2 linked regions of the Sus scrofa genome follow. The protein of the gene in region 2 interacts with the protein of the main gene of each other region in a pairwise test. Links are inferred from orthologs where the notes say so. Each region holds a gene or a part of one and is shown on either strand. Other genes may lie near its edges.

Region 1 (4,470 bases), on a different chromosome or scaffold from region 2:
GTCAGTGTCAGCTGGTCTCCCCAAGCCCACAGACCCACCCACAAAGGGAAGGGCCCCAGTGGGAAGAGGAGCCCCCACCAGGCCTGGGTGTCAGAGGTGACCCTCACCATGCTGGGCACGGGGAAAGCCGTTGCTGGAATCATCCCTGGCAACAGGAACAGGCTCCCCGCCCACCTCTCGGTAGATATCAAATTCCTGGGCCAGTGTGTGGATCACCACGGATAGGTCCTGCTCCCGCACCTGGGCCACAAAGATGACACAATACACGGGTCCCCAGGCACCCGTGTCCACCCTGCCTTGCCCCAGCACCTGCAGGAAACTCACCAGGATGAAGTCTGTCTGGTAGGTGGACAGCATCAGCACGGACACGTGGTGCTCAGCCAGCGGTGCAATTACTGAGCGGGCAATCTTGGTGACCCCAGCAGCCTGCACTGCTGTGCCGCTGTGGGATGACACATTCAGCACTAGCCACGTGGCCTCGGCCACTTGTAGGAACTCAGACGTGGGCAGCTCTGTGGGGCAGGGGGACACACCCAGTCAGGGCCTGTAGGGCTGGCCCCTGGCCTCAGTTTCCCTGTCTGCGCTTTGGAGGGCTCTACCAAGGTAAGGTCCACTCTGGAAAATAGAGCTGTCCTCCTCCCCCAAGTTCTGCTCCTGAGACCTGCATATATGCAAAGACTGAGAAGTGCTTTGGGTGTTGGCCTGTCAGGGATTGAAACTTCCCAGTTAAAATGGAAGCTTGGAGTTCCCGTCGTGGCACAGTGGTTAATGAATCTGATTAGGAACCATGAGGTTGCAGGTTCGATTCCTGGCCTTGCTCTGTGGGTTAAGAATCTGGCGTTGCTGTGAGCTGTGGCATAGTTTGCAGACGCGGCTCAGATCCTGAGTTGCTGTGGCTCTGGCGCAGGCTGGTGGCTACAGCTCTGATTAGACCCCTAGCCTGGGAACTTCCATATGCTGCGGGAGTGGCCCTAGAAAAGGTAAAAAATAAAATAATAAAATAAAATTGGAGCTCAAAATTCAGACAGACCTGGGTTTTAATCCCAGCTTCATCATTTACTTTCTGTTGACCTGTGGCAAATGATTTAACTTCTGAGAGCCTGTTTCTCCTACAGAAACTGAGTATGTATGCACTGAGTATCAGAGGCCTTACACCATGTGGTACCACCAGGGGGAGCCAGCAGTCCAAGTTGGCTGGGAGATGCCTTCCTCGTTAGCAGACCCAGACTTTTCCGCAGCATAAATAGGGAAACTAAGTAGCCCTGTAGGGGAGGGAGGGAGCCCCAGCTGGCTGGCCAGAGACTCCAGGCCTGTAAGGATGGGTCAAGCTGGCAGGAGAGAAGCCAGATATCAGCTCCAGGGATCAGGGAGGGACCAGGCTGGTGTCCAGTCCAGCACATGGGCCACAGCCAAGGTGGCTGCTAATCGCCCAAACACAGCTAGGAGGCCCCGTAGGATCCTGCCCTGGGCTGGCTGCCGGCTCCTGCATTCCTTCCCCAACCCTCAGACTCTCGGAGTTCCCAGACCAGTCAGGGAGGGAGTGACCCACACCAGGGAGTGAAGCCCAAGGGGAAATAATGGGGTGGGGGGCAAGAACAGCCACAGAAGCCTGATTCTTGCCCCAGAGCTGTAACTGAGGCCCTGCTGCTGGTCTGTGGCTGCTAAATGCCCTTTACACACTGCCCCATTTATAAAACCCTCATGGGGCCAAATAGATCAGAACCGTAACTATATCCATTTTACATAAAACGAAATAAACAACTCAGAGAGGGGAAGTGACTTGATCAAGGGCACACAGCCAGTGAGTAGTGGAAATGGACTGGAACCCAGATCATCTGCCTTCAGGGCCCCAACTCTTGGTACATTAGATCCTAGCATTCTCTTAGAATCCTGCAAAAAGGGGAGGACAACCTCCTTCCCCTACTCACCCTCCCCAGCCCAGTCCCCACCTTTGAAGCCCTCCTCGTCCACCATGAGCGTGTAATCCTCAGGGGTCTCCGTCAGGCTGAAGAATTTGCACCTGGGTGGGGGCAGGGAGCATCTTCAGCCTGGGTGGGCGGAGGGGGCGGGCAGACACCCCCCACCCCGGCTGGGCGTCTCCCTGCCCCCTCCAGACTCAATTTCCTCCCCAGAACAGTGGGGCGTGGGCCCCATCTCCAGAATTGCGAACCGTTTTCCTCCGCCCAGATCTCTGCAGAAGCCCCTGCCCAGCATTCCAAGAGGAAGGAGAGGCTCACCCAAGGCGGCAGTCCCGGGCGTCCGAGCCCCCTTAGACCAGCCCCTCTGACCCGATGAGAGGCAGCTGGAAAAAGTTCTCCGAAGTTGCCAGGAAGAAATGCCCCCATGTGAAACCACTAGGAGTTAAGCACTGACCATCCCAGGCTGTCTGCGCCTTAACAAGCTCTGTGAGGGGGCCTCACGAGCCGGATAGGCGGCGGTCCCAGGGAGGGTAGGCCCAGGCCGGATGGCGGCGGTGGGGAGCGGGGGGCGGGGAGCGCTCTCCCTGTCTGCTCCCGCTGGCCCCGCGGAGGTCCTAATCTCCCGATCCCATCTCAGAGTGACAGTGCAGCCCACCCCCCTCTGTGCCCGGACCCGGACGCGCACCGGCTTCGGCGGGGCAGGAAGAGCAGCTTGATGAGTGGGTGAGTGTAGAGCCAGAGACCGGGCCGGGCGAGGCTCAGCACCCGCACCCGGTGCTCTAGGATGTGCAGCTCCATCGCGGTCCGCGCGGACCCGACCCCACGGCCAAACAGACCCAGGCCGTGCCGGGGGCGGGGCGGCGGGGGCGGTGCCGGGAGGTGCTTAAAGGAGCCGCTGCGCCGCAGAGTCCTAGCCGCCAGCCACGCCAGCTCCCTGACGGCCACGCCGCGCAGGACTGGGGGCCAATCCAGGGTGGCCACGCCTCCTTGTAACGCTAGAGACTCACTCCGCCCCTTATGGCCCCGCCCCTTCGGCATTGGCTCCGGAATCACCACCTAACCCCACCCCCGTCGCGTCCTCCAGGCCCCGCCCATGCCTCTCCCCCACTCCGGGCTCCGCCCTTTCCGCAGGACTCCCGCAGCTGCTCCGGAGAGCCCGGGGAGGCTTGGGGTCTTTTCTGCACTAAGGGCCTTCTGATTAAGTTCACCAAGGCTTGGGAGGGCCACAAGATGAACCGGGGCTCGGCTGTGACCAGAACACTGCTCCCAAATCCTTGAAACATGGGTGGGTAGGGGTCCACTGTGCAACCTAGGAGACGTTGTTGTTCTGTCCCAATAAAGGGTCCTGGCACCTTTCCCTCTCCTTCCTCTGATGGCTTAGCATGAGGCAGGGCCACCAGAACTGGCTGGGGTGGCAGTGAAAAAAGTTCCACAGCCCAGGATAGCACTGATACAAACCCCTCCAAGCTTTGTGAGCCCTGTGAGTGGGCTAACAAGATGAAACCCAACCTGAACTTGGTGGTCCCCACATCTGTTCCTCTCACCCACCTTTCAGAGTAGAAGGCTCCCCACCAGAATCAAAGATGGGGAGGGCCCCAGCTACCTCTGAGCAATACACTGTAGGGTAGGGAGCTGAAGGTAGTCTGGACTAACATTTGAGGCTTAAGACTTAAGTATTTGGGACAGGAATGCCCAAAGCTCAAACTTTGGGGGGCAGGGCCATGCATCCAGAGCCCAGTGTGTAGTCAGACTTAAAAGCCTACAGTCATTAGAACTTGGGCCTGAGCACATTTAAGCTTGTTTCATGTCCAAGGAGGCCCCCAGATCTGAAGCTTGTTAGTGCCACCTTGGGTTCATTTCAACATTAGGGCTGGGGTCTGCTCAGGCCTCTCAGGTTTGCAAAGACCCCAGTGCTGAGCAGACATCAGCACACCTAGGTTGGTTTCCCAGCAGGATGGGACATGTTCCAGGGGCCCTTGCCTGGCCTGCACATCCTCAGGCCTCAGATCCAAGGCTTTGAACCAAGCAGGTTAAAGCAGGCCTCAGGCCTGATTGGGTCCCAGCAGGCCTGAGCAGGCCTCCTACCTGCTGGGGCGGGCGGGCGTGGGGTGGGGGGTGGCGGCAATTGCACGCAGCTAGTAGTGGGGCAGCACCTTCCCTCCCTGGACTCACCAGTTTGGTGGGTTCTGCTGGAACACTGCAGCCACCACATCCTGGCCAGACCCCTAGAGGGCCAGGGGGTGGGAGGTGTCCTCAGGAGGCTGAGCCCCTCATCTGGTTGACGGCAGGTGTACATGGGGTAGGAAGCCACAGGGGTAAGGGGCAGGAGGTAGGAAGGGTGTGGTTTGCCCTGACAGATTCATGTGACCCTTGACCTCCTCAGGCCTCAGTATCCCCAGCTGTACCAGGACAAGATGTTCCAGGCTGAGGCCCTGAGATGCTTAAAAGCTCCCAGGGAGGCTCTAGTCCTGCCTCCCTGCTCCCCCATTGCCCAGCCCAGCTTGGTGGCCAGCCAAGAACAGTCACTATTGTTTGACTGGAAAAGCTGCTT
Region 2 (4,502 bases):
ACTTTAGGGCTGCACCCATGGCATATGGAGATACCAAGACTAGGGGTCTAATTGGAGCTGGAGCTGCTAGCCTATGCCACAGGCTCAGCAATGTAGGATCCGGGCCACTTCTGTGACCTACACTACAGCTCATGGCAACACCAGATCCTTAACCCACTGAGCAAGGTCAGGGTTCGAACCTGCGTCATCATGGATGCTAGTCAGATTCGTTTCCACTGAGCCACCACAGGAACTCCCCATAAATTACATACTTTTATCAGGAGAGACAAAGTTAGATATGATGTCAACACTTGGCAACTGAAAATTTGGATGAGGAAAGAGACGTGAGATTTATCATTTGGAAATGACATTAATGCTGATAACTTGCCAGGAGGTATACTGGAGTTACCCAATGATACGGATTGTTTGTCACTGCTAAATCAAATTTTCAAAGAAATTTAGTTCTGGTGAAATGGATTAGGCTGTTGAGCCCAGGTTTTAACCAGCTTTGGGGGTTACCTTCATCCCCAAGTGATTTCGACTCTGACAGACATGGGCCTCCTTCTGCCGTATGTAATTAGTTTCCCTCTTAAACTATCTGACATAGTTTTTTTTTTTTTATTTATTGTATTTTTTTTCCGCTGTACAGCATGGGGACCAAGTTTACATACATGTATACATACTTTTTCCTCCCATTGTTGTGTGGCGATTAACAAAAGTTTTTTTCCCCTTTTTTTTTTATTACTCAAATGTATTTATCACATCTGTAGTTGTATAATGATCATAACAATCTAATTTCAAAGGATTTCCATCCCACAACCCAGGTGATTAACATAGTTTTGATGTTACCTCATAGGCTGGGAGGCCAGTGGACTCCTTTAGTTCAAGGATGATCAAGTATGGGGCCAGGGGAGGTCAAGAGTAGATGAAAGGAGGGAACAGCTGTGCTTCCCTTCTAATTTTTGGACCAAGCTTTCAAGCGGAGGAAATTGTTTTCAGGTGCTGAGGGGAATCTCCGTTCCACAATCCCAGAGAGAAAGTATGATTCAGTAGGAAAAAAGTGCCTCAAATCTGAGTGTGAAAATGCAGTAAGAATGCACCCAGATAAAGGCGTGTGGCGCTGCTGAGGGTGCTGCTCCTAAGGGTGTAAGACTGGTGTTTGGTTGGCTCATTTGCTTCAAGTTCTCAGAGACAGATAGACCGTCAGACCGCGCTGACTAAGGGGCTGCGGGAACACTGAGGTGCTGAGATATTCTAAAGAGGAGGCTGAGGCATGACGAGAACAAGCCTGGAGTCGAACAAAGGTGCCCAGGGATTGCAGGATGCAATCTGGAGCGTTCTAGGCTTACCGGGAGGATCACCACCAAAGCCCAGGACCATAGCCAGAGGTGCAGCGGCCGCAGGAGGCGCACCTCCGGAGGACCCGCCCCTCTGAAAGCCACGCCCTCAGAGTCAGACCAATGGGAGCTCGGAATATTAGCGGGTGGGAGGCGCGGCCGTGTTGCTACAGCCGGAGCTGGGCGGCGGCGGCGGCTGTATCGGCGGCAGTGGCGGCGGCTGCGGGTGTTGTGCTAGGAGTGTCGCGAAGCCATACGCGGAGGCGCAATGGAGGGACTGGAAGGTAAAGAGGTGAAGGGATGCAGGCCGGGCGGCTGGGAGTGGGGTTGCAGGGAGGTGGGGCTGCCCTGGACCTCGGTACCTGGGAGGCGAGGGCAGGTACGGAGCGGTGGACCCCGTCGCGCCTCCGGAGGCCTGGGCGGGCGGGCGCCTTGCAGCCCCAGATGTAGGCAAGCTAATAATCCTCTGGCTGCCGCTCCTCAAATGGTTCCCCGCTTGGAGCCTGAGCCTGCTCTCTGGTAAACGCCTGCAGGTCGTTTCCTACCATTTTCTAAAAGGTCTTGCCGGCCTCCCCGAATGTCCTTTTGATAATCACAGCCTCCGGCCAGATTTTATTTTCCTTGCAAAGTGTACTCTCCCTTAATGTCTAAGGCCTCCCCAGTGCCAGCCTTTGCTGGAGCCCCGGGGTGTGTCGCCAACCTCGAGCTTCTGATACTTTCCTTGGCCACTTTCCTTGGTTTCCCTAGGTAACCGTTTTTCCATTTCTACAGCATCTTCTGTCGGAAGGATGCCAAGAGCATCTCCCAAGGAAGTGTCACTGGCCAGCTTTAGAGCTGAGACAATAGATTAACAGGAGGATTTAAGGGCTTATTCACGGGGACTCTGAGGAAGAGCCAGCATTGATTCCTTATCTTTGGATTTATCCTTGTGCCGTAACGACGACTCCAGATTTTGCTTTGTTCTCTATTCTTTCACTTCTCTGTTCTCTTCACTCATTTTATCCTGTGTAATATGACATGCGCTTAAAAACAACAAAGGAAAAAAACCAGTTAAGCCTTAGAAACAACAGTTTCACGATTCTTTTTCAAATTGTGGTTAATCCTTCTGATGAAGAAAAAGACTGGGGAATTGAAAGATCCTGTTTTCGTAATTTAGCCCTTTTTTCTCTTAATTTACATAGATTCAGGTGGAATTAATAAGCAGAAGCATTGAGCCCTGTGGATTGTTGCATGCTAGGGAGTAAATTATTTCAGGTTATGTTGTGAAGTGAAAAGTAATAGCTGATAACTTTTTGTAGTTACCTAAGCCCACCAAAAAGCCATTGCAATAACAAGTATGGTAATATTTTCACGCTTTTGCTCCTAGGTGAACTCTCATACTAAATACCTTGAGGATGATAGATAATTAAGAATTCTGATGATTTTCCATTTGTGGGCAGCTGTGGTATACCATAACTAATGAAATTCTTGTTCTTTGACTATTTATTTTGGCAAGTCACTCAAGTTTCCATGAAATAGGAATTATACTAATAGTATCCCTTACTCAAGATACTTTTGCTTAGAGAACTCATGGAGGCAGTTTATTTTTTTTTAAATCAATTTTCAAACATGTGGTAGTATATAGCTTAGTGGGTAGGATCATGGGTCCTGGAATTCTCATAAAGTTATTATAATACACACAAAGTGCTTTAGAACAGTTTTTCTGTAGATTTCTGTTATTTTATGCAGTATTTGAAATTAAGGCAAAGATCTTCATATGATTTTTAATTTAGGTATGCTCAATATCTAAAAGAGTGTCTGACACAAAGTAGGTATTCAGTATTTGTTGTGAGATAAATGGCTTTGTCTAAGACGGGCACAGCAAAAAAATAGAAAGTCAAAGCCCTGCTTTTATTGAGTGTACATTTTAGTATATTTTTAACAGTCCTAAGACATTACTGTTGATATCATGCTGTGTATACTTTTAAAATATAATGAAAACCTGTTATAATATGCAGTTACATGGGTAGAGAAATATATGAATTCTGATGTATCTTATCATGGGCATGTTTTAGGGGCCCAGCTCATGATGTGTTACGTAAACTACTTGTTTTTTACTCATTGTTGTTTTTTTTAAAAAACAAAATGAGTTGCTGGTGTTACCTGTGATGTGTCTGATTGTAATGAATCAGGTTAAAATATATGAAATTCTTCTTTTTGTAGGGAAAACAATTGAATATTGGTAATTTCAGGTGCTTTAAACCAATAAAAACTCTAAAAATCTTTTGTTGAAATCAGACAGTGCCTTTTTTTTTCTTTTAAAATTAGCCCCTGTTAGGTAATACTTTGTAAAGATCAACTTTGAGTCTTTAGTTTACCATTCATTAATTTATTCATCCATGCCTTCATTTAATATACAGTGATAAATTGGTACAGTGACAGATAAGATAAAAATTTTTCCCTATTGAAAGTCTAGCACTTTGAAGGTGTCTAATGAACATTATATTGCAGTATCCAGTAGAAAAATCTTCAGGAGTTTGCTTAACATATCATAATAATTGAGCATATATTGTACTGCCTGGCATTAGACCTGAGTTTCTAGTTGGAGTCAGCAGATTAATCCTAAATATATTGACTCTTGAAAAATTTTACTGAGGATTATCATACTCTTCTGGGACCTTTTTGTTTCCTGAATTGTCACAAGATGAGTTGTTAGGGGAACACATTTATTTACTAATACATTTTATTGGAGTATAGGTGACTTAAAACAATGTTATATTAGTTTTAGGTGTATTGTGAAGTGAATCAGCCATACATGTACATATATAACCATACTTTTTAAATTCTTTACCCACATAGGCTATCACAGAGTATTGAATAGATTTCCTGGAGCTATATATTAGGTCCTTGTTACCAAATGATTTTGTGTATAGTAGTGTGTATATGCCAATCCCAATCTCCCAATCTGTTCCTCTCTCTCAGAGTTTCCCCTTTGGTAACCATAAGTTTGGTTTTGAAATCTTTAGGTCTTTTTCTGTTTTGTGAATAAGTTCTTTTGTATCTTTTTTTATTTTATGGTTTTTATTTTTTCCATTATAGTTGATTGATAGTGTTCTGTCAATTTCTACTGTATAGCCAAGTGACCCAGTCATGTATATATACACATATATACATATATATATTCTTTTTCTCACATTATCCTTTATC

What was found.
Region 1: the proteins of ZC2HC1A (region 2) and CASTOR1 interact in binary tests that used the Homo sapiens proteins (3 or more experiments, as listed by UniProt). The two-hybrid records come from large-scale screens. The link is inferred for Sus scrofa from reciprocal best matches to the Homo sapiens genes ZC2HC1A and CASTOR1.

The regions. Positions count from the first base shown.
Region 1 is NC_010456.5:47,263,841-47,268,310, forward strand, and holds the start of CASTOR1 (GATS-like protein 3), read right to left. Parts: upstream 2,890-4,470; 5' UTR 2,718-2,889; coding exon 2,605-2,717; intron 2,591-2,604; exon of another isoform or gene 2,238-2,590; intron 2,021-2,237; coding exon 1,950-2,020; intron 513-1,949; coding exon 108-512; intron 1-107. UniProt on the Homo sapiens protein: Functions as an intracellular arginine sensor within the amino acid-sensing branch of the TORC1 signaling pathway. As a homodimer or a heterodimer with CASTOR2, binds and inhibits the GATOR subcomplex GATOR2 and thereby mTORC1.
Region 2 is NC_010446.5:57,816,843-57,821,344, reverse strand, and holds the start of ZC2HC1A (zinc finger C2HC domain-containing protein 1A), read left to right. Parts: upstream 1-1,453; 5' UTR 1,454-1,584; coding exon 1,585-1,600; intron 1,601-4,502.